Linked DNA regions of Daphnia pulex. The main gene of each other region encodes a partner of the protein of the gene in region 2 in a complex. Links are inferred from orthologs where the notes say so. Each region holds a gene or a part of one and is shown on either strand. Other genes may lie near its edges.

Region 1 (3,930 bases), on a different chromosome or scaffold from region 2:
AGACGAAATAAATATTTGGTAAAGTAATAACTCACTTTTCTCCCGATCATCGATTAAAGGCTGCTCGCAGTTCTCATTCCAGAATTTATTAGTAAGTACGATGCGAAATGGGCAAATCAAGTACCGCTGCCAGCTTTTAAATGAACAAATTTTTATCAAACAGTTTTTAAATTCTTTATCGCATTGGCCTCGGTGCACGTCAGCTTCCATTGACGAAATGATGTGGCATTTATCGTAACACATATCGTGAGTGTTGCAGCATAGCTCTTGGTCTTTATATGGCAAACATTCAACGTCTATCTACATTATATAAAGAAAAAAATAGCGGAAAATAGATAAAAGAAAATTCTGGGCTGATTTTATTTGTATCGTTACTTTGAGTCCATCAGCTCCACAGCCATTACTAGTCGGGAAATGACTTTGGTTTGGCGCTGCTATAAATCCTGCAAGAATGTAGGTATACATTTAATTATTGATTTATTAGTAAACTGCAAGGGGGTCAGAATATTGTATACTTAACCAGGTGGGCAATCAAACTTCAATTCAGAACTGGAAGGCTGTGACAAAAGATTGATTGAGGATTCCCAGATCTTTGGGTGATAAGCGCAAAAATCTACAAGAGTACTGAAAGTAGCACCAATAATTCCAGTAGACATCATTTTGAAGATAATCCATCTAAGTATTCCGGTCCACCAACCATCCAGGAAAAATAAAGTTACTAGTATGATGGCTACATGTGAATTCTTCATCGTACATCGTCCGATATGGGACGATAACTCTGAGAGAATTCCAGACAATTTGCAGGTTACACAACTACAGTCCGGTATTTTATTTCACTAAGAAGTAAACGGTGCACTCCGCCCGCCCCTTCGAACCTTCCCTATATATTGATAGAAGGGATTTGCAATTGCAACACGCGATACATATATTGATATCTCGATACGATACCTTTTATATTACGTTGAATTACGAAATAAATTTGTTTTTTAAGTTATAATCGCGGCCATTGGTCATAAATATAAACAAATTGGATACTACGAAAATATAGCGTAGTTTGAATGCCCACGTAATTTCAAATCGAAATCGGATTTGATTTTCCTTATTGAATCGATAAACTTTCTATATCGATTAGTGGGGTTTGTTTTGACGTAAGATTTTTTTTTAGTTTTTATTGGATTTGTGTCCATTTGTGTACACGATATTTAACTAAAGAGTACATATAATTAGTAACACAACGCTTCAGCTGCTACCATTTGTTTGATCTCATTAATTTGAGCAATCTTAAAATGAGTGCACAGGCATTTGACATCATATTTGCTGGTAATTTACCCAATCTCTTCATTGATGGATCTCCTTCTACAAATGTAAGTCTTTGTATCTAAAATATTCTTGTTGTATGTATAAATATGATTTTTCAAAGACATTAATGAATAAAATGTCATTTAGATAACCTGCCTGGAAATATGTGGCGATTTCTTATATCTAGGGTGCAAAGAAGGGTAAATTTGCTATACTGTTGGCTTCCCTTTTTTATACCATTGAATGTAATAAAAATTTCGAATTATTGTATCACAGAAACTTACTGAGGTGTAGCTTCAAGAAATCTTCAATCTTACCTGAACAAACAGTAATTATCAACAAAGCCACTCACTGCTACTCAACTACCAGTCCTATAGTACAGATGAAAGCCATATCAGCCTTGACACAGCTGCTTGTGCTTTCTAATGAAACCTTGACTGTGCTTGATTTGGAAACTTTAGCTCTAGTCAGAACATTAAAGTTCAAATCCATCACTTCTTTCCATCTTAATGAGAATCCACTCAATGAAGATCCATTCACAGTGGAGATTTGTGCTGGGTCCAAGAAAAAAATATTGTATATTCACCTTAGTGATGAGCATGTTAAAATAATTAAAGAAGTCTCAACTAGCTTAACACCTTCAACACTGGTGATGGATGGAGCTCACATTTGTTTTGCTATGGGCTTTGAATATTGCATGCTGGATATTCTTTCTGGAGAGATTCAACAGCTATTTGCTGTAGACAACCCACAGCAACCACTCATCATTCACAGAGTCTCAAAGGTGTTTAAATTTAAATGTTGCAAAATATTGCACCTGTTTTAACTTTTCTCCTAATTATAGGGAGAATTTTTATTGAGTGGACCTGGTGGATTAGGAGTATTTGTGTTGTCACAAGGTTTTTCAGATAAACCTCCAATAAATTTTTCCAGTCAAGTCTCAGCTTTAGCCTTTCATCACCCATACATAATTGCAGTGTGTAGACAAGGAATCTGTTTTTACAGGTATTTGAAGAAAAAAAAAAATTCAATCTGATTTGATAATTTTATTTGTAAATTTCATAATTACAGCATTATTGATCAGCAATGCAAACAAACGATAGCTATTGACAATGTTCGGTCTATAGTAAATGGTGATGGTCGAATCTTTGCCTCGACACTGATTGACTTGTTTGCTCTACTTCCTATTTCTTGGGAGACGCAATTAGAGAAATTACTTGCTGACAATCGCATAGAAGAGGCCCTCGTATTAGCTGCTAATGCCCATATCTCTTCTAACGATAGAGAACAGCATAAACTCATGATTAAGGATCTTGAAGAAAAAGTGGCTTTGCTACGATTTTCTTCTGGACGCTTTTTGGATGCAATGGAATTGTTTGAAACATGCAACATTGATCCTCGAAAGGTCTGTTTGTTTTTTACATTTGTGTACAATGTACATGCATAGCATATTAAATAACTTGTGCAACTATTTAGGTGATTGACTTGGACCTTGAACAAATGTTCCCAGAAGAAGAAATGCGCAACAGTTCTTTAGTGGTTTTCCTCGATTTTCTTCAGCGATGGAGACTCAAGTGCTTGACGCCAGATCAGAGGATGGTATGCTAGTTGTGTTTCCGTAGTTTTTCGTGTCATCGCATCTAAATTTGATGTAAAAATTTTTTAGGCAGTCGATTTGGCACTTCTCAAGTATTTAGCAAGGAATGACGACGAAGGAGTGCAGTTGATGGATTTCATCGTAGACTGCCAAGCCGACTCAAGTGAAACATGCGACTGCTTGAAAACTTTTCAAAGGTTCCATTGCTTAGCGACCTACTATATTTCTAAACAAAAATGGGAGGAAGCCTTTTGCATTTGGGATCGATTGATGAAGTCGGACATTGAAGACGTGCATTTTTTAGGATACCCTCATGTGGCCGAGCAGCTGACTAAGTATGAATTCTTTAAAGTTGTTTGTAAATCATTTTCATAAGTTTTTGCGATTTCTACTTAGGTGTGGAGACATCTCACTGATTTGGCGCTTTAGTGGAGAAATCTTAAAGAGGGATGAAGAGATGGGCGCTAAAATATTTACTTCAGAAAAGATACCAGCCGTTAAGCCGCGAGCTGTAATAGATTATTTACGCAACTATCCCAAAAGTTTAAGAATTTTCCTCGAATTCTTGATCGAGAAGAAAATCGACGAGGAGTCGGTTCACACTCAACTAGCTATGATGTATATAGATGACATCAAACGCTCCGATCTGAACCGCAATAGCCCAGGCCATCGAATGACAATTAACAAACTACGAAGTCTTCTTAGAACTTCTCAAAAACTTGAACTAGTTAAACTGTTGGAAATACTTGATACGCCTGGCTTTCCACATGAGCACGCAATCGTTTGTGGAAGACTTGGTCAACATTCCACTGCTATTAATACCTTTATCAACTATCTTAAGGTAGTTAACCTCTTAATATAAAGCAAATAATGTAATTTAATCAATCTTTATCAGGATTTTGATGCTGCTGAGGAATATTGTGCATGTCTAGATGATCCAAAAGCTTGGAATGCCCTGTTGGCTGCCTGTGTGACTGAAGCGAACGTTCATATGTTTGACCGTGTGGCAGATTTATTGCGTCGCCGGCCACATC
Region 2 (3,450 bases):
TTTCTTCTAACTCCCTTAAGATAACATTACATTAAAAATAGAGAAAAATGGAATGGACTGTATTATTACTTTGCTCATAAACAGAGGGGGACCATATAGCGTGATGGAACTTGTAAATTGTTCGTGTCACACTGTCACCAACTCAGCAACTCAGCATAAACCGTCCAACCATCACAAACAGATATTGATTATATCGCAAAGAAACTTATGACCAGATTCACATAAAAGTTAATTATTATGAATTTTCATTGATTGGGGTGACAGACCTCAAATTAAACCTTGAAGGATTTTTAATGGGGCTAAGTGATTGTCGGATCATTCCAACCAACTTATGGAAACATGTTGGATCATTTTGGATGACAGGCCAGACAATTTTAGCCAACTAATGTCTAAATCTGAATAAATGCCTTTTTTTGCAATCATCAAGTGATGGGCGCTGTACAGTTATTGTATAAACGGGAAAATATACGAGAAACGTTCTCTTTCCTTCTAGGATTGTGAATGAACCCAACAAGAAATTATACGTAACACGCACATTCAAGTCGTATTTGCAATAATAAGTCAACAATTTGAATAGTTTTATCGAAAAAGTTTCATACTGGATAAATATTTGGGTATCACTCGAATAGGTTCTGTAATGCAGAGGACAATCCGATTCTTGCCTTGTAGATCGAATCCAGCTGAGCAGGTGACAACTGAGGAACTGGCAACTGCTCCTGGAAAATGACAAAGAGTTAGAAAAATAACAATTACATTCAACAAAACTCTTTACTTGATTAGGGACAGTAGAATCATCTTGCTCTGGCTCTGCAATGATCGGTGTTGGCTGACAACGGATACATTGCTTGATTTCCCCTCGTAAGCAGCTGCTATGGAAAGCGTGACGACATTGGAATGCAGTAATGGATGGATTCCGGCCGTTTTGAAGCAGACGATTACAGCTGCTGCAGCGGGACGCACGCAACGCAATACCTTTCCGTGACTGGCGGTAGCGCTGAGACAGTAAACTGTGTACATCCCCTTGAAGCAGTCGCGTGCTGATCCGTAGCAATGTTGTCTCGTACGTGTAGTTATCCAAAAGACCTGTTAATAAATGAATCATTATATTAAAAAAACTTTACCTCAATGAATTAGATTTTTTTTTTTGTGTTACCCATTATAAGTTGGCGAAGATCCCCTAAAGTGCCTCCTGTTGTTTCGGGATCCTCAATCAAACGAGGTAACACTTTAGTTAAGCTTATTTGACCCTGGATGCTTGTCACGACTTTTTGAGTAACTTCTCTCAAACCTTAAAATCGTTAATTGTTAACGGACGGCCTTTTTTTAAATAAAAATTTCCAAAACCTGAGATGATGGAAGCGGAAGCATCCGGATTTCCCTTCAAGCTTCTTTGCGGAAGAAGCAACTCGTCGAGAAGGGTTAACCAAACCCTTTCGCGTTCCTTTTCTGTTAAAGAACTTGCTTGTCGCTGACAAAAATCAATTACTGATTGAGAAGCAGCCTCGAAGTCTTGCCAACCCTCTGTTTCAACAAAGAGTTGTTTAATGGAACCTTGAAGCTGGCCGAGTAGTAAATCGTAAGCGGCTGTTATCTCTCCTTGACGTTCAAGAATTGCCGCCTCAGCTTCGACAACGGCAAACTTGCGACAGATTTCTAACAAACGCGGCAGATGTGGGATATCGGCTAGTTGAACGTAAGACGTAAGTCGCTCCGGCTCTAGCTCCGCCATAAGTTCAGCAAATTGCTCAATACAATGACCGTCATCATCGATCAAAACAGCAGTATTGGTTGCCCCATCTATATCTTGAGTCCTATTTCAACGGAGGTAAGAGAACATCGTCTTTTAAAATTTGAAGCATCAATGTAAAATAAGTCGATAAAAATTAAGTTAAAACTCACGCCAAATCAAGAATAGCTTCAAGAAAACGATATCGTTCATTTGGAAAAGGTATCAGGGCAGTGACCGCCTCATCAATTAATGCAGGTTTGTTAACAGCCAAAAAGACGGCCAATGAAGTTGCGTTTAGTTGGACTAGCAGTTGGATATGTTTCAAAATCAATCGTTCCATCAGTTGGACATTGGATGCAACAGATTCAGTGAAAACGTTCCGCAGGAAGTGAAGAATGTCGCCGTGGCGAGAGGTATCGTCAATGTAGCACTGGAACACATTTTCCCAATCTTGGCGCTGCTCGTAGATATACTCGCATACACGATAACTAATAAAAAAGTATTATAAATTGAATGTGAAAATGGTTTCAAATTGATTTTTGATTTTAAATGATATTACAATTTAGCGGATTGAGCTTGTTCAAGTAGCTTTTCTTCATCTTCTGTTCCCAATGATAGCTGGCCTTTAATCTGAAGAAGTTGAAGCAGTGCTTGTTGCCTTTCTTCGAATCTACTCTGAACTCGAGTTTCTTTAGAAGACAAAGAACAGACCAAATCTACAAGCTGCTGAAAAAGACCACGTTCCAAATGAATAGAGTCGTGGCGAGGTGAGCGACTTATTTGACGAGCAATGAATGTGAAAAGAGAGCAAATCTGATCCGGCTGTAACAATAATTATAAACAAGTTACAAACAAGTTAGAATTACTATTAGGCAGAAAAAGATGTTTACCGAAAACTGAGACGAGTTGATCATAATTTCAACCAGAATGTCTATTACTCTCTGCTGGCGTCTTGCTCCCATCTCGCCAATGAATTCAGATTCTTCAAAAGCTAATGAAAGAGCATTGAGTAATTCTTGGGTATTAAACTCTAGTAGAGTGCGCAGGAATGGATATGGAGGCTCATCCTCCGAAGCTCGTTTACTGTGCAGGCACGTCAGACTAGTTAACACTTGATGTTTGACTTTAACACGGGAATCTTCGTCAATTTCTCCAACGGGATAAGCCCTGCCAGCCAAACAACATGAGATGTAGACCAGGATGACGTGGCCCAATTTGAGATCTTGTTCAGAATACGGCGGACCTAAGGGTATACGGTACATGGAATGGTTAACTAGTTAGTTTTATGGAATCATGTTATATAATGCTGAACCTAATTTGACTGCTCCTTGCAACTGTTTCATCAGATCTTCCAGCGGACTGACGTAATCCTGAAGCGCCCGTGTATGCACGTAAAGGTAAGCGTGACACAACCCCTGGTTATGCGACAACGTCAGAATCTGATGCAGATCCAAGCTAGAGACATCGACGTGGCTGATGCAGCTCTCCAGAGCCTCAAGCCAGCCCTTATCTTCATAAAGGGCTACAAATTGCTGCATAATAGAAGGTGAGATAGATTGCAAACGGTCGTTGAGAAAGTGGGGTTCTAACAGTTGAAGGAAGCAGTCTCGGGCCACTTCGAACGACGAAATTCTTGGATAAATTTCATCAAAAAGCAACGATCTACGATAAAATGGAAACCATGTTAAAATAATGCTTCATCATCAGTGAATCCAAAATTT

The links.
Region 1: vacuolar protein sorting-associated protein 8 homolog (region 2) and transforming growth factor-beta receptor-associated protein 1-like share a complex: the UniProt entries of both Homo sapiens proteins name them as parts of the putative class C core vacuole/endosome tethering (CORVET) complex. The link is inferred for Daphnia pulex from reciprocal best matches to the Homo sapiens genes VPS8 and TGFBRAP1.

The regions. Positions count from the first base shown.
Region 1 is NC_060020.1:7,293,261-7,297,190, reverse strand, and holds the start of transforming growth factor-beta receptor-associated protein 1-like, read left to right. Parts: upstream 1-1,230; 5' UTR 1,231-1,286; coding exon 1,287-1,364; intron 1,365-1,446; coding exon 1,447-1,499; intron 1,500-1,575; coding exon 1,576-2,083; intron 2,084-2,143; coding exon 2,144-2,304; intron 2,305-2,370; coding exon 2,371-2,704; intron 2,705-2,775; coding exon 2,776-2,898; intron 2,899-2,965; coding exon 2,966-3,231; intron 3,232-3,292; coding exon 3,293-3,737; intron 3,738-3,791; coding exon 3,792-3,930. Other genes in the region: group XIIA secretory phospholipase A2-like, read right to left, coding at 36-300, 376-443, 521-749. UniProt on the Homo sapiens protein: Plays a role in the TGF-beta/activin signaling pathway. It associates with inactive heteromeric TGF-beta and activin receptor complexes, mainly through the type II receptor, and is released upon activation of signaling.
Region 2 is NC_060022.1:5,734,382-5,737,831, forward strand, and holds the end of vacuolar protein sorting-associated protein 8 homolog, read right to left. Parts: intron 3,392-3,450; coding exon 3,042-3,391; intron 2,973-3,041; coding exon 2,620-2,972; intron 2,552-2,619; coding exon 2,289-2,551; intron 2,218-2,288; coding exon 1,900-2,217; intron 1,812-1,899; coding exon 1,345-1,811; intron 1,289-1,344; coding exon 1,154-1,288; intron 1,084-1,153; coding exon 773-1,083; intron 717-772; coding exon 618-716; 3' UTR 526-617; downstream 1-525. UniProt on the Homo sapiens protein: Plays a role in vesicle-mediated protein trafficking of the endocytic membrane transport pathway.